Sus scrofa: one gene and its partner. Each later gene encodes a partner of the first gene's protein in a complex. Links are inferred from orthologs where the notes say so. Each region holds a gene or a part of one and is shown in the gene's direction. Other genes may lie near its edges.

What was found. The genes of interacting proteins can lie anywhere in the genome.
Region 2: the proteins of KIDINS220 (region 1) and XPR1 are in contact, whole or in part, in a cryo-EM structure (PDB 9JXQ), measured with the Homo sapiens proteins. The link is inferred for Sus scrofa from reciprocal best matches to the Homo sapiens genes KIDINS220 and XPR1. Residues at the interface, in NP_065789.1 of Homo sapiens: Glu36, Cys37, Gln39, Asp70, Trp72, Met102, Trp105, Trp110, Tyr113, Lys114, Val138, Ile142, Trp143, Gly146, Arg147, Ser166, Asp167, Lys168, Tyr169, Gly170, Trp176, Arg179, Lys180, Gln198, Glu199, Gly200, Ala201, Ser203, Lys234, Arg267; in NP_004727.2 of Homo sapiens: Leu95, Lys189, Lys190, Gln193, Glu197, Ala200, Asn204, Glu205, Ala636, Asp637, Asp638, Leu641, Leu642, Gln644, Met645, Met646, Asp647, Gln648, Asp649, Asp650, Val652, Arg653, Asn654, Arg655.

The regions. Positions count from the first base shown.
Region 1 is NC_010445.4:127,409,641-127,419,300, forward strand, and holds part of KIDINS220 (kinase D-interacting substrate of 220 kDa), read left to right. Parts: intron 1-1,916; coding exon 1,917-2,015; intron 2,016-3,878; coding exon 3,879-3,977; intron 3,978-5,233; coding exon 5,234-5,332; intron 5,333-6,091; coding exon 6,092-6,269; intron 6,270-9,530; coding exon 9,531-9,660. UniProt on the Homo sapiens protein: Promotes a prolonged MAP-kinase signaling by neurotrophins through activation of a Rap1-dependent mechanism. Provides a docking site for the CRKL-C3G complex, resulting in Rap1-dependent sustained ERK activation.
Region 2 is NC_010451.4:122,234,437-122,244,840, forward strand, and holds the start of XPR1 (xenotropic and polytropic retrovirus receptor 1), read left to right. Parts: upstream 1-3,517; 5' UTR 3,518-3,708; coding exon 3,709-3,777; intron 3,778-10,404. UniProt on the Homo sapiens protein: Inorganic ion transporter that mediates phosphate ion export across plasma membrane.

The DNA.
Region 1 (9,660 bases):
ATTGCTTCAAATACCACCTTTATACTTAGGATTTTCAAATTTTTAAAGTTGTATCTCTTGCCATAACCTTTTCTCGACGTCCTCACTCATATGTCCAGCTCTGCTCGAACCCTGCGCTCGAATGTGTAATGGGCTCCGTGTGGCGAAGCGCACCTCATGCTGCCTCGTCCCAGAGCTGCTTTTCCCTCCGTCTCTCCGTCTGGGACAGCAGCACAGCATCTCCCCTGCTGTGAAAGCCCTCAGTCCTGCGCAGTAGTCTTTTTAAAAATATTATCGCAGCATAGTGGATTTACACTGCGCCTTAATCTTGATTTCTCTCTTTTCCTCACCTTCCACATCCACGCCTTCAGCAGGTTCCCCTGGCTCTATGTCCAAACCGCACCCTCTATCTGTCCACTTGCCTTCGTTTCCAGGTCCACCTCCCGTCATTACAGCAGTGCTGCCTTAACCAGGTCTCCTGTGTTCGCTAGTTCGCAGCGTGATCCGTAGAGCAGCGCATCCTCCGTGTGCTCCAAGACTGCCTCTGGCTCGCGGGATGCGTGCTCCCTCTTTGGTTTATAAGCACCTCTTGATTTAGTCTGGCCTCACGCTTTGTCCTCACTTGTGCCTCTCCCTCCCGTTTCAGTAGTTTGCAGCCATTTTAACCCTTTCCTTCCCTTTCTTGACCACACTGGGCTCGTCGCCGCCACAGGCCGCCTGCAGCTTGCTCTGCCTGGAACACTGATCTTTATGTGGCTGGCTCCTCCTTGTCCTTCCCATCTCAGCCTAAATGTCACCTCCTCAGAAAGGTCTTCTCCAGCTACCCAGTCTGCCCCATCACTTTCTCTTACATCACTGCATTTTATTTGCATGACAGTTAGTTGACTTTTTCTTTGTGTCTGTCGTCTGTCGGTCTCCGGGACTATGGATTTTCTCAGAGCTGGGTGGGAGCTTGTCCACCTTATTTCCCAGCGCCTGGAGTAATAGTCCATGGCGCAAATACTTAGACGCTTTTATTCATTTTCCAGTCTGGACCCACATTAATGCTAACGTTCTCAACTAAAGGGTGTCTGCTGGGGGTTTCTGTACACTTTTAACGTGGAAGTTAAGATACTTCAGCGTGGCGTCAGAATCCTCAAGGACCTGCACCTTGCTTTCCAGCCCGCCGGGGCCCCCTTAGGATTGAGACGAGCCGTAGGTGATGGAATCACCCAACCCAAACCCATGCGACTGGTCTGTGATTTAGCAGTTTAACAAAGGCCATTTGCAGCATTTGAAACCCGGGGAGATACAATTACTAGTGATTATTGCTTGGTGAATATAATCTCAGGGCAGAGATGTCCTTAGGAGGTAATGAGCTTCATTCGTCTCCGCCTTGTACTGGGGATGAGTCAGTCTGGTGCACTGCTGGCCTGCAGTGCCAGGTCCATAGGGTATAGGTGCTATTCTGGGAACCACCCTTCTCCCTTCATTAAACGTGGTGATAAACCCACAGATGGCTCTAGCTCTACAGCTCCTTTTTTTAGAATCCATGGCTTTTGTCATCTAGCATCATTCCAAGGGATTTGTGTTATGTAATTTCCAAATGCCCATCTGGTTCATTGACAGCCATGGGTCCTCTTATTCAATTTACATTTGAAATGAGAGGTTACCTGCAAAGAGAATGGCTTATTCTGGGTGACTTACCCTTTTAAACTTTTTGTCCGGAAATCTCAGGTATAAATGTCCTCATTTTGAAGTATAAAGTCTTCTATCCCTTATTCTGAAGGCTGTTCATATTGGTAACTAAAAACTTTCTATTATTTAGAGATAGTGTTTTTCCCCAAGGATTTTTCAGGAAAAAAAAATCTATTGATATTAACACGTGGATAATCTTCACTTCAAAACAGTGTTTTTTGTTTTCATCATCCCTTCACCTTGGTTTTTTGTCTTTTCAGAGTGGAGACACTGTGTTAATTGGCGCGGTCAGAGGTGGTCACGTGGAAATCGTTCGAGCGCTTCTCCAAAAATATGCCGATATAGACATCAGAGGACAGGTGCGTGTGAATACAGTGCTGTTTCCTATGGAGATAAGCTTATAAACCCTCATCTGTGTAATGGGAGCCGATTCTGTTGCTTCACTGCCATTATCATGGGATTTCTGTATTCGTGTCAAGTTAGACAGAAGTAAACCATAAAGAAGCTCAGGTTTTTCAAATACACCTCCTTTCCTTATGTCTAAAGAAATATCGAAATTCAGTCCTGAAGTGGGTGGTTTGTGCTGTGGAGACAGTCGGTGGCACGCTGAGTGTACGCATCCTGTTTTCTTCAGCAGCCCCTGTTTGTCTTTTTCGTCCGTACATTTTCCTTCTATTCCTGTTGTTTTATCTTTCTTCCCCTTTTTACCATTCTGTTAGCCTTTCCCAGGACCACTTGGTTGTGCCTGTGAACTTTGCTGAAGACAGTCAGAGCTCATAGAGCTGTAAAGGTTACCGATTTTAGGTTAAAAGCGTCTCTGAAGTTGTGAATTTATCTGATATGTCAAGAGCTTTAGATTAAAAAAAAAAAATCTTGCTTAACAGCCCATTTTGTGGTTGGACAGTCTACGTTTCTGCTCAGTCTTTTCCTTGCATTTAGCTTGTATCCAAATCCATTTTTGAATCAAAACAATAAATATTGTACCAAATGCCATGAGCCTTGCCTGTAAGAACCGTATATTTTAGTTAGGAAGGTTTTAGTTTGTTTCGTTTATATTTATTCTTAAGTTTTAATGTGACCATGAAAAGTGATGCTGCTTTGGAATGAGATGGTATGCGATTGATCGCCTAGTGAAAGGTTCCAGTGTACGAGACTTGACGTGGGGAAAGCAGGCCTTAAGAAAGCTTTCGAAGGAAGGGCGCATTTGAGCTAAGTTTGAAAAACAGGTTGGGATTAGGGAGAGAAAAGGAAGGCTGGGTAATCCGGCAAGGGTAGTGGAAGAACGGGATGAGAAAGCTCAGGAAAAGTGGACGGTGAAAGATTGTACTCCCCAGCTGGTGAATAAACCAGGTTGTCACTGGGACCGTGGGCAGCGTGGGACGAGAGGTGGAGGCAGAAAGGGAAGTAGGGCCAGAGGGGCGTGGGTGCCGCGCGTAGAAGGTTGGAAGCTGGCGTGCAGTTCTGAGAAGGGGACTCCGGCGAGGCAGCCTTGGTGCAGGAGATCTTGTGTGGCAGCAGCAGGAAGTCATTCGCCCTCTCTTGGGTGTTAAATCATCTTTTCGCTAAAAGTGGGTCACAGGAGCCCCTGTGTAGACTTTCATCTAATTCCTGTGTCGGTCAATTCTGGTTTCCTATGTTTTAGTCAGTCTCCCCCCCCCCCCCCGCCCCAGCTCTGTTTTCAAAGTTCATATAGATCGATTTTTGGTTTAAAACTAGAATTTTAAAGAATCTGATGAAGATCAGTATATGGGTACGGGGAGGAGATTAAGAAAACTAAAAATGCTAAAACGGTTCACCTTGTATTTGTGTAGTATTTCTCATGCATTATCTTTGAAAAGATTGGGCAGACGAACAGCCAAAAGCCAGGGGTCCGAATATTTACCTGATTTATCAGAGGATGCAAAGCTTGGGTACTGATGACTTCCGACAGGGCAGGGTCCTGAAATCTGATCGCGTTCCCGAAGCACAGCTCACTTATCAGCTGTGGGGGGTCGCTGCTTTTTGAGTCAGGAAATATTAAGTGTTCCTAGGCTTCTTCCATAAAGAATTTCTCACAAGTAAATGCAAGAGAGAATCAAGATTCCTATTTTCTCTCATGCTGCTGCTTGGTAAGATCTATTCATATTTTAATAGAAGTGTTAATAGTATTATTTTATATTTCTAAGTAGCTGTTTATAACATATTGTATATGAAGTGATTGTTGGTTTTTTTTAATTATATAGGACAATAAAACTGCTTTGTATTGGGCTGTGGAGAAAGGAAATGCGACAATGGTGAGAGATATCCTGCAGTGCAACCCCGACACTGAAATATGCACGAAGGTATACACTTCTCTCTTGTCTCAGCAATACTGAGTGCGAAATATTAACACTGCTTCTTATTTTCAGTTTTTACAGTGGTTTGATACTGGAATTATACTGGTTTTATGGTAAAGTTCTGTATTGAATTGAAGAGTAACTTTGTATCCTTTCAGGAGTTAGGTATTCCCAGGAGAATGCGTTGTGTAATTTGTTATTTTAGTTGAATACTTGCAGGAAGTGTGGTATCAGCTCTTCATAAATTCTGGACAGATCATTCCCCCAGAAATATTTCAGGCTCCTGTGGTTTGGAAGGCAGACCACGTTTCCTTTTGAAAGGTCCCTGTGAGTGACTCCCCAGGCCAACCACTTGAGTTTATTTTACTCAATTCATGTGGAAAGTGTAAAACTGTTAAGACTTGAGTCGTTATATTTGACGTCATGTGAAACAGTTTTCCAAGGGAGAATGTATTTGGAATTCTGGACTGAAATGGCAGGAATTCTTAACGAATAAAGCAAACTTATGAAATCACCCATAAAACCCTCTTATTTCATTTGCTGTAGATTTTGGAGCAGCATTTTCTAAACCAGTGATGATAACCTCAGTGCCCTCGGGAAGAGTGTTTCCTGGGGTATCTTCTGGTTTACAGGTGGTGGCTCCTGGGTAATCTTTTTTCTTTTTCTTTTGGACCATGTGGTTCCATGTGGTTTCTGAGCAACGTTGGCTTTTTCCTAATTCAGAGCTGAACTGTGGTTTCTTCTTATTCCTCTTAATTTGATTTCGAAAGCAATTGTGAACTCCTTGGAGGTTTTGCCAAGGCATGCCGCTTGTACGAGCCCGTTTGCCGTGTTGTAGACAGAGGTGCTGGTGTAGACATCTGACAGGTCCAGATGCTGGCTCGCCTGGACATTCGAGGCTGGGGGCTGCGGCGGTTGGTGGGGAGATGGTGAGACAGGGCAACAGCCTCTGGAGGAGCTGCCCGGATGGCGGATGGTGTGGGGACCTGGGAATGGCAGGAGCAGCGAGCCCAGGGCAGAAACGACTGATAAGTGATGGGCACATCCCGTGCCCCTGAGTGAGATAAAAGTATTGTGATACAAATGATTGGCTGGGAAAGGAGAGGCACTTGCTTGTTAGTTTTTCAACTATGTTTTCTTGAGAACGTTTTCAATATAGACTTCTCAGATTATTTGAATTCTTGACATGTGTGTTTATGTGGCTTAAAACAGTGAGGAATAAAGGTGTTAATCCAGCAACACCTTCTTATCTGTGCCCACAGGATGGTGAAACACCTCTTATAAAGGCTACCAAGATGAGAAATATTGAAGTGGTGGAGCTGCTGCTAGATAAAGGAGCTAAAGTGTCTGCTGTGGATAAGGTAAGCATCCAGGCAGGGAACGTTTTTCAGAGGGCTCTTGGTGGCCTCGGGGGGGGCCCGATTTTACTTCGCGGAGGGAGAGGTTTCTTGCTGGGGATATCCGTGTGGGATTTGGATGCCGTGGTATCTTGATAGTGTGCTGAGGAGTGGGCGGCTCAGCGTGCTGTGAAAGCGGCAGCTCTAGCTGACCTGCCAAGGCTCACAGCGGCTACAGGGAGCTGCACTGACCACATGCAAGGAGGCTGTCCCAGGTGGGGGGCTTGTTGCGGAGAAAGGGGCTGGAGAAGATACGCTCAAAGCTGCCTGGCGCTCACGTTCACTGGCGGGGTGGGGGGGGGGGACAGTGTTCTGCCGTATGTCCTCCTCTTCGTCCTTTTATTGAAATGTTCATGGGAGTTCCCGTCATGGCTCAGCGGTAATGAACCCGACTCGTATCCATGAGGATGCAGGTTTGATCCCTGACCTTGCTTAGTGAGTTAAGGATCTGGCACTGCCGTGAGCTGTGGTGTAGGTCGCAGATGTGGCTCGGATCTGGCGTGGCTGTGGCTGTGGTGTAGGCTGGCAGCTGTAGCTCTGATTCGACCCCTAACCTGGGAACCTCCATATGCTGCACGTGCTGCCCTGAAAATTCATATAACTCATGCATTCGCTGCAAAATGTGAAAAGTTCAGATTTTCTGTGATTTTATAGAAACATGAAAATTGTACATTCCATGTGTAAACAACGTGACTGGTCGGGTTTCCTGCCCCTGTGTTGCAGAAAGGAGACACTCCTTTGCATATTGCTATTCGTGGCAGGAGCCGGAAGCTGGCGGAGCTTCTTTTAAGAAACCCCAAAGACGGCAGGTTACTTTACAGGCCCAACAAAGCCGGCGAGACGCCCTACAACATTGACTGCAGCCATCAGAAAAGTATTTTAACTCAGATATTTGGAGCCAGTAAGTATGGGTTTTGTATCTGAGATTTTAAGAAGTGACTGTCTATGAAGAAATTGAGACCAACGGCAATTTGGCATGTACTGCTTAACTGGAGCTAATGCAAGTTGGGGAAGTTACTATTTTACTGTGGAAAAATAGCTTCTGACTGTCCGAAGCTCTCTTGCATTGTACTCTGGCATTCTGAATTAAGCGCATTCAGAGTCAACAGTCAGCTTTCAAGACCTCCAAAAATCTTCCTGCTTTTCTAAAAATCTTTTCCCTTGTTATTCTCACAGGTATACTTTTATCAAAACGTGCTCTCTCTTCCGAGCAGGCCTCAAGCACTTCAGTTTGCTTGTGCTGTGCTCTCTCTGTCCTGTGAATGTTCTGGTTGAAATCTCCTCTCTCCAAGGCTGGAGTCACTTGTCTCCTTCTCAGTGATATTTTAATTGATCAGCCTCACCAGATAAAATGTTTGCTTCAGGAGTTCCCACTGTGGCTTAGTGGTAAGAACTCGACTAGCACCCGTGAGGATGTGGGTTCAATCCCTGGCCTTGCTTAGTGGGTTAAGGATCCAGCATTGCCATGATCTGTGGTGTAGGTGGCAGATGTTTTTGGCTCAGATCTGGCTGTGGCTGTGGTGTAGGCCGGCAGCTCTAGCTCCAATTCAACTCCTAGCCTGGGAACTCCCATATGTCATGGGTTCGACCCTAAAAACAAAACGAAACAAAATTTGCTTCATTCGCATACTTAAGCACTTGTGTTTGTTTTTCCCTTTTTAAAACTTATTATATGTGGCCTTTTATTTTGTTTCTTTTAGAATTTTCTCCCTTCCAGGTTTCAGGTTCTTCGGGACAGGGGCTGTTTCTTCTTATCGTACGCCCTCTGCAACATCTAGCATAGCCTGTTGAATATTGTACTAAAATAGTTTTTGATTGAAAAGGATGCACATGAGAATGTAATCATTTGTATGTGGTCTTTTGAAACACGGAACAATTTTCTACTAGAATTTTTTAAAAAGAGACATTTTGGTCTCAGAAACCAGCAGGCGATAGTAGAGTCCTGTCACTTCTCAGTTTAGCTGTTTACTTACATCTTGTTTTTAAGTCTGATTCTATTGCATTATAAGTTTTTGTATTTTAAAATATTTTTTTCTGAGGATAATAATGCACACTTTTTTTTTCTGAAAATACAATAACACGCGTTACATTTTAAGGATGAAGACACAAATATAGTAGAAAGTGCAAATGTCCCATTGTCTCTTATCTCCCAATTTGTAGTTGTTTGAATGATTTAGCAGGATTTTCTTTACATTTCTAAAGATGTTTTGTGCTATTATATAGCCTTAAAAAAAGTGAGTGATACCATATCATAAAATTTTTAAATAACGAGCTATACCATTTTTAAATTGTTGCATGATCTTTCATTCTAGGTTCTGATGGTACATTCAGTTCTTTGTTGATGAGTATTTGTTCTACTATTAAAAGCTGGTGCTGCAGTGAAAATCTTTGTGCATGTATCCATTAACAATCTTTTTTGAGACTATTTTCTTAAAATAATCTAAACTAAACTCCCAAAAGTAGAGTTGGCAAGTCAGCGGCTGTTCATTGTTTTGACAGACTTTATCCAAAATGGCTGCAACAGTTTTTTCCTCCTTGGATCATGTGTGATAGCGCAGTTCCTTATAACCTTGCCACCGCTGGATATTGCCAGCTTCCTTAATCTTTGCCAATCAGACCACTGAGGAAACATTTCGTTTTAATGTGCCTTGTGAAATTATTATGAGTAAAACAGAAAAATTGAGATCTTTTAATATGTTCATGTGTTTTTGCTGTTTTCCTCTCTGTATCCTTTGCCTGCTTTTTTCTTGAGTTTTTCATATTAAAAAAATAATTTTTGTGACTTTACATATTGAAGATATTGATCGAGGGTCCAGCCTACATGTTGTATCTGTCTCCCCGGCTTAGTCTTTATTTATGGGGATGGGTTTTTTAAATTCCCTATCCCAAGGTTATATAAATTTGTGGTTTATTTGTTGGTCTTTTCCTGCACTCTGGCTTTAGTATTATATTGAGAAAGGCCTTTTCCACACAAAAATTTTAATAGGTTTTTCTCTTGTATTTTCTTCCAGTACTTTTAGAGTTTTATTCTCTGGATTTAATTTTTTAATGTTTCAGAAATTTATTTGGTTAAAGCCTAAGACATAGAGTTTTAACTTCATTTTGAGAATAGGTGGCTTACTTCTCCCAACACCACTTATTAATATATCCTTTCCCCACTGATTGGAAATGCCACTCACGTCACTATCCTGTGCAAGTTCTGTAATGTTCTAGTTATTGCAGCTTTAAAATGTATTTTGATTCTTCTTCAGAGACAACCACTTTTGGTAGTCTTAAAACTTTTTCGTAATGCTTCTTATATGCGCTTCCTGATTCTTCACAGTATTCTCATGGATTTTTCTTGGAATTGCTTTAAAGTGGTAGATTAATTTGGGGACAATTCCTGTTTTTAAGTCATTGAGCCTTCCTGCCTGGAACTGCAGCCTGTCTCCTTTTCTCTGGTTGTCTATTAGGCCTTCACTGATGTGATAGAGCCTCTTTATGTAGGCACTGCACACACTGAGTTGATTCCTATGGGCTAGTTTCTGTTTTCATCATTTTATTGATGCTAAACCAATACCTTATTCCACATTTTAGCATCTCTGAAATTGGAATATGTCTTACGATTGACGGGTAAGAAAGCATTATGTCACAATTTGGCAGCATTTTTTTCTTTCTTAGTTGTATGTAATAATGATGCATTTTATAATTATAGGTATCTTAAGTTCAATGAAATATGGTATTAACTTAGGAATCTCTGAAAATATTTTACACAGGTCTAACCATTTACAAAAGTTTTTTTTTTTAAAGATCCTATTTATTTATTTATGTCTTTTTAGGGCTATACTCATGGCACATGGAGGTTCCCAGGCTAGGGGTCAGATTGGAGCTGTAGCTGCTGGCCTACACCACAGCCACAGCAACGCCAGATCCAAGCTGCATCTGTGACCAGTATGTACCACAGCTCACGGCAATGCTGGATCCTTAGCCCACTGAGTGAGGCCAGGGATTGAACCTGCGTCCTCATGGATACTAGTCAGATTCATTTCCACTGAGCCACGACGGGAACGCCAAGGTTGTTTCCCTCTAACTAAATAAACAAAAAATGAGGATTGATGTTCCTTTCTAATAGTAATGACTTTTTTTTTTTTAATGTAAGGATACGGTGTGTTTATAATTGCAGGACACTTGTCTCCCACCGAAACAGATGGTGACATGCTTGGGTATGATTTATACAGCAGTGCCCTGGCCGACATTCTCAGTGAACCCACCATGCAGCCGCCCATTTGTGTGGGGCTGTATGCGCAGTGGGG
Region 2 (10,404 bases), on another chromosome or scaffold:
TGATGTCCTCCACAGAAAAGACAGTCTTATTTATTTCTGAACTGTCCTTCATTCCCAAAGTGGCATAGCAAGCATATCACAGTGCTCAATAAAATTTCAATGAATGAAGAATTATTTGCCTACTTACAAAAGAAAGTGTAAGAGTTACTTCTGATTAGAGTAAAAGACCATTCAGGCGATCATTCTTAGCACCTTAGCACAAGGCTCTATAGAAAGTAGGTGTGTAATAAATACTAAGTATTTGATGGTTCTGTCAGTGAACTATCTGAAGTAACACTAGGGATAGGAAATTTATTACTAAATCTACTTCTGTCCAACTGAGTGTCAGTGCCCTTGATCAGGTATGAGAAAATTAAGAACTGCTGGTTATAGAGCTAATATGAGGCTTTCTTTTCTTCCCTGGGTTGGGCCATGGTTCCAGAATCTTGTGCATAGTTGAGGCACCAAGATATGATGCTGTTGGGAGCAGGATGCCGTGGTCTACAGGAGTTGCTACCAAGAGTCTGCCATTTTTCCATCATCAAAAAGTCCACAAATGATAAATGCTAGAGAGGGTATGGAGGAAAAAAGCACCTTCCTACAGTTCTGGTGGGAACGCAGATTGGTGCAGCCACCATTGAGAACAGAATTGAGTTTTCTTTAAAAAACTAAAAATAGGAATTCCCATTGTGGCTCAGCGGTAAGGAACCCAACCAGTATCCATGAGGATGTGGGTTCAATCCCCAGCCTTGCTCAGTGGGTTAAGGATCTGCTGTTGCTGTGAGCTGTGGTGTAGGCTGGAAGCTGCAGCTCTGATTCGACCCTTAGCCCGGGAACTTCCATATGCTGCACATGTGACCCTAAAAAGAAAAAAACAAAAACAAAAACCAAAAAAAACCGAAAAACTAAAAATAGAGTTACCATATGATTCAGCAATTTTACTCCTGGGCATATATCCGGAGAAACTCTAATCTGAAAAGATACATGCGCTCCAATGTTCACAGCAGCATTATTTACAATAGCTAAGACATGGACAAGTCCATGGACAGATGAATAAAGAAGATGTGGTATATATACAAAATAGAATATTATTGGGCTACAAAAAGAATGAAATAATGCCATTTTCAGCAACATGGGTGGACCTAGAGATTATCATAGTAAGTGAAGTAAATCAGGAAAAGAAAGACAAGTATCATATGCTCTCACATATGTGGAATCTAGGAACTTATTTACAAAACAGATATAGATTCACAGACATAGAAAACAAACTTGTGTTTACCAAAGGGGAAAGAGGGGGAGGGATAAATTAGGGATTTGGGATTAATAGGTAGATACTACTATATATAAAATAGATAAAAAATAAGACCTACTGTACAGTACAGGGAACTATATATAGTTTCCTTTAAAAATCCATGATGGAAAAGAATCTGAAAACTTACATGTATAACTAAATCATTTTGCTCTACACTTGAAACATTGTAAATCAACTATAGTTCAATTAAAAAAAAAAAAAAAAGAGTTGGAGTTCCTGTCGTGGCACAGTGGAAACGAATCTGACTAGGAACCATGAGGATGCAGGTTCTATCCCTGGCCTCCCTCAGTGGGTTAAGGATCTGGCGTTGCCGTGAGCTGCGGTATAGCTCACAGATTCGGCTTAGATCTGATGTTGCTGCTATGGTGTAGGCCACTAGCTGTAGTTCCGATTTAACACCTGGCCTGGGAATCTCCATATACTTCGGGTGTGGCCCTAAAAAGCCAACAACAACAAAATAAATAAAAAGAGTCTTCCATTCCAGCTCACATGTGGTAAAGGCCCAGCAATAGCTTTTGCAGCTACCCCTGGTTCTGTCTTCCTAGGCACACCATGCAGCCACCCCCTCTCTGGGTGGTACTTCCTTTCTGGGAGCACAGCCCTCTCTTTTGCCTTTCTCTCTTGGCAACATTTACCTCTAGTAGAGGGGAATTGTTATGGTGGACAGAGGAGTACAGTGCTGACCTGAGATGAGTCTTCCTCCTCCTCTTCCTCCTCCTTCCCGTTCCTCTCCTTCCCCTTCCTCTCCTTCTCCTTCCTCTCCTTCTCCTCCTTCTTCTTCCCTGATTACCCTTTCACAGAGGTTGAGGCTTTTGTACAACAAAAAATCAGAAAGCCTCATCGCCCATGACTATTTTCCATCATGCATCATCCCCTGTCCTGAGGAAATAATTCTAGTATCCCTACTGACATGATTTAAGAGGAAGAGGAAAGGGGAAAAATACATAGAGAAAAAAACCCAAAAAACCCAAACCAACAGTAGATACTGTTATCACAGAACACTGTCCCAGTCATAGTAGCCACTTAATCTTTGGATCTCACCAAAATTGTGAGAATTAAAGGACAAAGTACTTTGCTTCGATTTAAAATAATTTTTGTTCCACGGACAGTAAGTGCTTAATAAATTATTATTCAGGGCTCCTCCACTCAGGGAAAGACCTTGATTTCTGTCCAAAATCCAGGACAATTGCTCCCATACTCAAATAGTGCCAGCTGTGTGAGTGATCTGTTCTCTATGCTCCCTGAGAAGAGTCAGCCTGGATGCTGGACCCCTTTTTTGATCTCCTTGGAGGTGGGGTTCCTACTGTACTTCAAGAGGATTCTCTTTCCTCCCAGCATTGGTTTCCCTCTCAAACCTCACTCCTAATCCCCACGAAGCTTAGCCACAAGTCCAGTTGATACCCCAGTCCTATTTTGAGTCCAGGTGTTGTGGTTGGCCTTTCTGGGAGCCCTGGGGCTAGACAATTACATTGAAATTCAGAAGCAGCATGCAATTTTTGGCACTGATATCTTTAAGTAAATTCAACAAGCATTTATCCAGCACCTAGAGCGTGTAAAATAAGCTTCCTTTAAATACATATGGCCCTTAACTATTTAGTCTGTTTTTGTCTTTTTTTTTTTTTTTTTTTTTTAGGTCCGCACCCGCGGCATAAGGAAGTTCCCATGCTAGGGGTCCAACTGGAGCTGTAGCCACAGGCCTACAGACAGCCACAGCAAGGCCAGATCTGAGCAGAGTCTGCAACCTACACCACAGCTCACGAGAAGGCCAGATCCTTAACCTACTGAGCGAGGCCAGGGATGGAACCTACAACCTCATGGTTCGTAGTTGGATTCGTTCCGGCTGCGCCAAGAAGGGAACTCCTATTTAGTCTGCTTTTAATTTGAATTAATGTTGAGCCATCCTTAAGGGTTTTACGAAGAATAAATATTAAAAAGAAAAAATATTTGCACAAATCTTTGCAAATATAAACTTCTGTGGAGTATTGTTGCTACAGTATTAATATTAATTGCAATAACACCACAGCTTCCCAGGCAAGCGTTAGGAGCGCAGCTGTAAGGCCAACAAGAACCAGACGGAAGAGGTCAGGGGAGGTGCCTTCGGCACGTCCGGCCCAGAGGGGCGGAGCTATAAGGAATATACTAAAATACCGCCCGTTACCCCGCCCTTTTCGACGGTGCGGCGTAGGCGGTTACCATGGCGATGACGTATAGAGGGCGGGGCGGGGAGGGGCGGGGCTATGGAGAGGAGGAGGAAGATGGCGGGAGGGCGGCTCTGAGGAGACCTCGGCGGCGGCGGAGGAGGAGAGAAGCGCAGCGCCGCGCCGCGCCGGGGCCCATGTGGGGAGGAGTCGGAGTCGCTGTTGCCGCCGCCGCCAGTAACTGCTGGACCCGAGTGGGAGTGAGGGGGAGACGGCAGGATGAAGTTCGCCGAGCACCTCTCCGCGCACATCACTCCTGAGTGGAGGAAGCAATACATCCAGTATGAGGTACCGGCAGCGGCCGGGGAGTGGGAGGACTCTGAGGGGCCACCATCTCCCCAGTCCTGACCTCCACCGCCGCCTTCGGCTCCTGCTGCCTCCCCGCGCCCGGGCGGACTTTGACCCGGTGCGGCGGGGAGCCACTGCGGCATCCCCGCCGCGGCCGGCCCCCTCTGGGCCCCGCTGACCTTCCCCTCCCCCGCAGCCCCGCTGCCGCCGGGGTAACGGATATGCGGGCGGCGGGCCGGGAGGGAAGGCACAGCCGGCCGGGGCTGGGGAATGGCGGTGGGAGGGCGAGCCGCAGGTGGAGGAGTCGGGGTGTGAGGGCAGCCCCGGGGTCGCGGCGGTTTCGCGCTAATCCCCTCCTCCCGCTCACCCTAACCTCGCGTCCCCACCCTGGGCGAGCGCCCCCTCGCCAAGGTTAGGTCTTGTTTCTCTCTGCTCACCTCTCACCGAGGAATCCTCTTCCGAGATAAGCCCCTCCAGTGATTTCCTTCATTCCACGGAGCCCTTCAGCTTTTCTTCACTTGCCCGCTGTTGACAAAGGCTTTGTAACAGGGTTGAAACTTGATTTAAATGTGTATTACACATGCAGTGGTTACACTATGCACACGTACCGTAATCAGCTATTTTGTTTTGATGAGGCTGACTTGTCTTTTCACTGATTGCATAAAGTATACAAAGTATATAAAACATCCTTATCTTTGTTTTTGGCTCTTCTCTTGTTTTGGGATGAAGGGGGAAGTGGAAGGAAGAAAGAGAAGGGAATTATTTACAATTTTCACATTTTCTTTCCTAAATTTTTTGTTATCTAGGGAGAAAAGTACTACATTGTAAACAATGTAGTTTGAAAACATACCTGTGTATTACAGAAATCATGGCCCGTCTCACCCTTAATTTCTGTAATAACAGCTCTTGGAGTGTATTTAATAGATAGTGATAAGGAACCTTGCATTAATAAAAGGAAGAGTAAAGGTGGTGAGCCCATTTAGGGATTCAGAAGCCAAGATACCTGAAGGGCTTTAAGCATTGCACTAGGTTATTTTCCTTAACTGGCAGTTCAGCTCCTGGATAGAGAAAGACTTATCTGTAACCTCCAGGAATTCACATCTATGTTATGTGCAGGAACAAAGAGTATAAAATCAATATGAACACAAATATTCTAGCTAGGTTTTATGAATTAAAATATTTTGGTTCTCTATTTAATTTCTATTTTAAGTTCATTGATAGGTGTTTAGGCAATAGTTTATTCATATAACAGTTGTAATAATTGAAGAAGACAGGGAAAGGGATTGTTAAGTAGGTTAAACAAAACCTTGAAGAACCTTGTAAAATAAATTCACCTTGTAACATACAGTATTTGATTATTGCCAGAAATGAAAGCCCGAAAATTATTAATGCTTTCTTTTCACTTAATTTTCTTACAGTGTTTTGTGGCTATGTTTCATGAGAATGAAAAAAAGGGACTAGCTTTTCACCTTGTAGAGGTTTTGATTTATTGTTTCTAATAACGTTTGGTCAGTTTAAAACCTTGGCTAGAGTCCAGATGATGGTTTTTATTGAAAGGAAGGTATTGGTCTTTCATCTCTCTAGTAGTAATTTTCAGCACCACTGCCAGTTCTTCATAGAAGCATAGAGCACAGCATGCTGAAGCAACATCTTATACTTGTTATGTAGTATGGAATGCTTCATTTGGGGAGAAGTAATGGTGGTTGGTTGTATGCTATGATTTGTTTTAAATATTACAGCACTCAGCTGTTTCATAGAATTGTATTAACTTGGAATACAATTTCTGGGGCTGGAAGGAGAAGCATAAGATTTAGTTTGAATACATAATTACTTCTTGATTTATAATGTCAGCTTTGTGGCTGGAGTAATTCTGGGATTCCTTATTCACATACTCCATTTGGACAGTAGTCCTAAGTGATTACTTTAGGTTGGTCACAGAGGAACAAAATTCCTGAGCATATGTGTGACTGCATTATCTTTCCTAGTCCAATTATAAATTATTTTTTGAAAAATTCATTAATTGGGGATAATTGAAATTTTATTCTGCAGAGAATTCCTACCATGTGACTCTTGACTAGGATAAGCTCATTGTTTGGTAGGCAAAATTAATAAGAAACACTTTTCTTTGTGAATTGGAGCCATTAAGGACATTTTTTAGAGGCTTGGGATCTGTTGTGTATTGTTTCTCTAGAACTGGTGCTGTTCCTTTAAAAATAGTTGAAGAGTCATAAATAAGAGTCTTTAGAGTCCAGGAATTTTAGTAGCTTAAAAACTTTGGGGAAAAAAAGGACATCATAAAAGATATTAGTATTTACTAGAGAAATGAACTTCCTTATAATGCAGTAACATGTAGTTTCTCATATATGAAGATGATGCTCTTGAAACACTGTTAGTAGAACAGACACTTGAATTTGCTTTTCAAGTACTGATGATGAAATTTCAGTGTATTGCCCCTGATTTCTAGCATAGGGTGCTTTCTAGTACTGTGAACCACGGTGAACTGTTCAGCTTCTTTGTGGTTTATTTCATTTTGCTATGTCAAATTTTACTTGAAATAAGCAGAGCTTCAGGTAGAAGCTGAAAAATACTGTTTTACATCTATGATTAGATGTATTATTGTGTACACACAGTCATACAATAACTGCTAGTTCTCATTTGTGCTTGTCATGAGGCTTTGAGGAGAGTCTTTTTGCCTTTTCAAGGTTCCTCTTTCATAAAATAAGAATATAGAGCCAGAGCTTTTCATAGGATTTTTTATTTAACTTTCACTGGCTTTTATTTTTTAGATTGTTAAAATTATTAATTTTAGTGATGCATCAGTATCCTGAAAATTATTAGTTTCTGATTTAAAAGTGAATTGTAGAGTTCATAGATTCAGTCTTCATAGACAGAATGATAAAACATAAAAGAAGAGAGCAACATGGAGAAACTATATGAAGAAAATCTGATCCATTTGGGAATAGTTTTTACACAGAATAAACACAGTGGGAAGAGACTGTCCCTGTTTCCAGTAATCTAGTTGAGTGTAAATCTTGGTTTATATTATAGAACATCAATAAATCTTTATAAGAGCATAAAAACTTAGAATCAGTGGCATCCGGGTGACAGTGAAACAAACAAACTGGCAAAAAAAATTTGGAATCAGTGATTGTATATTTTAGAGCTCTGTAATTGATTAATCAAAATTAATTTAGACCAGTTTCAGCCAAATAGAGTAGTATGACCATATTAATATTTTACAGAATACTAGCAAAAGAAGCAAATATATTTGGTGTTGTAGGCTGCTGACTTGTGTTTTTTTCCCTAGGGTCCTGTGCTGCTTTGGTTTCTCAGAAATGTGGCATTTTTTTTTTTTTTTTCAGTGTGCACTGTAGTTTTGTAAGGTAATAAAATAATGAGACATCTAAATTTCGGGATTTTAGAGTTTGAAGGGAATTTAGAGATTATTTGCCTTCTTGTTTGTTTGTTTGTTTGTTTTCAAGTAAGGAAACTGAGGTCCAGAAAGGTTAAATTACTTGTCCAGGATCATATCTAGACAGCTAGTCTCTTGAGCAGAAGGTGTGTAAGCTTTGGTAGTGAGGTCACCCTAACTGTGTGACCCTGAAGAAATCACTTCCTCTTTCTGGGCTTTAAGCTCTTCATCTGTAAAGTGAGAGAACTGGACTTGATGGTTTCTAAGCTCACAGAGCTCTATTTTCTAAGGACCATATAGCTCTAAATTTCTGTGCATTTTTTGTGGTTTGTGTTTGATATATGAAGAGGAGAGAACTTAAAGCATTATTGTTAATAGCACTTTTTTAAATTGTCACCTTTCAAAATTTTTTGATGATATTTTAATGTGTGAATGGAAAGCTGACCCAGTGAAACTTTTATTTAACTTAAATAAAAAATGATGGTCATAGATTAATTTTTTGTTGCAAGATTTTGGAAAAGAGAGATTCTTCATAAACTGTGTATCTTATTTTTAATTGCAAGGAAACAGTGCTGTAACGTTATTGTGATTTTCATTTATAGAACTCTCCCATGAGAACACTTGTGTTGCAGGCTTCAATTTCCCAAAGGTATTATGTTGATTAGTTAGGGTTAACTTGCCTTGCTGGAACTTGTTTTGAAATTTCCAGTTTGGCCACCCGATGGGGCACAAACCACACTTTTTCTTTCACTCACTTCTGCAAATGAAAATCCAGTATAGCATATTTAAAATAACACTTGTAAATGATTATGTCAGTAAGATGCTTTGCATTTCAGAATGTTTCTTAACTGAGTGAATGAGTGTTGTATAAGACAGAAAACTATTACTCTTCTTTATTATTTTTGTATAATAAAGTGTGTATCCTGTGTATTTTTGTATAATAAAGTGAGTATCCTGGAAAGATTATACTTGCCCTCCCATCCCTGAAGGTTGGTTTTGGATCAGTTTTTGGGTGAAGGCCCAGATCATAAGAACCTAAGAGTCTTATTTGACCTGGGGTGACCATGGAAAATCAGTCCTGGCTTCAAATCCAGTCCTAATCTGGAAAACATCTGAGAGACTGAGTTGTGCTGGCTAGAGATTTCAAGTATATTTGCATCATAGCCCCCAAAGGAGAGTACTCAAAACTCCCATGGAGTAAGAGAAGATAGTTGTTTTTTGTTTTTTTTTTTTAATGATTTTCATTTTTTCCATTATAGTTGGTTTACAGTGTTCTGTCAGTTTCTACTATACAGCAAAGTGACCCAGTCATACACATACGTATATATTCTTTATTATTTTTTAAAAGTGATTTTCATTTTTTTCCATTATTGTTGGTTTACAGTGTTCTGTCAGTTTTCTACTATACAGCAAAGTGACCCAGTCACACACACATATATATACATACATTCTTTTTCTCACATTATCCTCCATCACAGGTGACTGAAAATAGTTCCCTGTGCTATACAGCAGGATCTTATTAGAAAATAGTTTTAGAAATGTTAATTGTGTTTGTTTTTGTGCATAAAACAGAAAGAAAATTTTGCTAATATTGAATAAATGGGTTAATACAGTGACCTTGTTTAGGAGGTAGTCGGAGGGCAAACAGCGGTTAATCCAGTTTATGGGTACATAGTTAAATGAGTATATATGGCTGTTACCTAATTTTGACTAAATGAACCCTTATAAAATGGATGTGACTTAAAAAGACTCCTGTAAAGAAGCCTCAGCAGCAGTACCAATAATCAGGCACACGTGAATATCAAGAAAATGGCAGAGCTGGCAATTCTACTTCTAGTACTAGCTTTTTGTCAGCCAAATTATAGAGAAAACAGTGATACTTAAATAGATCTGACAGGAAGTTTGCCAGAATGTTTCAAAATAATTAAGATAATTCTTTGAAGTACTGTTTTGCATCCATTGTCATTTACAGTGAACTCCACCTTAAATAAATATGATATATTAGAGTATTTTGTCTTTAAAAGGTCTGTTTTCCAGCCATTATAATCAGGTTTCAAAATCAACTGAACCCTAAAGTTTGAACTAGGCCTTTGAAATACTATTATCATGAAATGTTAAACTAAAATTTTAAAAAGTAATGAATCTTTTCAGTTAGGTTGTTCTTTAAAAGTATTGTTACTGATGATAATTTCTTAAAGGAGGTTAAAAATATTTTAGTATTATTCACAAATGAAAGGTTAAAATTATTTATTTTATCATTGTCTCAGCTTTTAAAACTTCCATTAAAAAAAATCCTTGTTTTATAATGTAAACAGATGTAGAAGGAAATAATTTATAAATAAATGTACCTATATTGGAGGTGCATAGTAAGCTTTTTTTTTTTTTTTTTTTTTTTTTTTTTTAGTAATGATATGTTATAAAAAATATTTGGAAAATTTTGCTCAAGTTGTACTACTTAACCAGAGCTAGTTTGTGGGTTGCTTGGTATTTAATTGGCCTTTGGGACTGAGAAATTGTCAAAATTCTCTAGGTTTCTTGCCCAATTGTATTTACCTTTTCAGGTCTTCACTCTACCTAGTAAATGCTAAAAGAAGCCAAGTAGACAACACTCATGAACAAGTACTGTAAAAAAATTATTCATTCATTCAACAAATATTTATAGGGGCTCTACTCTGTGCCATGGGCTGATAGATATGTCATTAAATTCTAGTTCTTTTGCTATCTTAAAAATAGAAAAAACAAAAACCAGTATTTTCTTGTGTGTTTTTGGTTTTATATTTCATTTAATGTAGTGCTTTCAAAATTAAAAATGGTATAGAAAGGGGAGATTGCAGATTGAGGACTTGGAACAAGGTTTTAAATTTGAATCTCTTGTGTTAAGTCATATGAAAGAATTCTCCCTGGCTTTTCAAACTTTTTTTGTTATTCATCTTTAAAGTCAATTTGTTTATAGGAGGAGATTTAGTTACTTGTTTCTTCCCATCACCAGGCAGGTGTGGTATCTATGGGGCCTGATCAAAAAATCCTTAAAAAGTTGTTTGTTTATAATAGGTAAGAGGAAAGTACAATTAGCTTGCTGCAAGCAAAACTTAAGATTTTCATATTCTCTGTAACAAGAGGGACAGTTATGTTAAGAAAACATAGTCATTTCTTAATAAAGATGACTGCAGTATTTAAAAAGACCAGACCGTTAACAAGGAGATACAAGTCCTTAG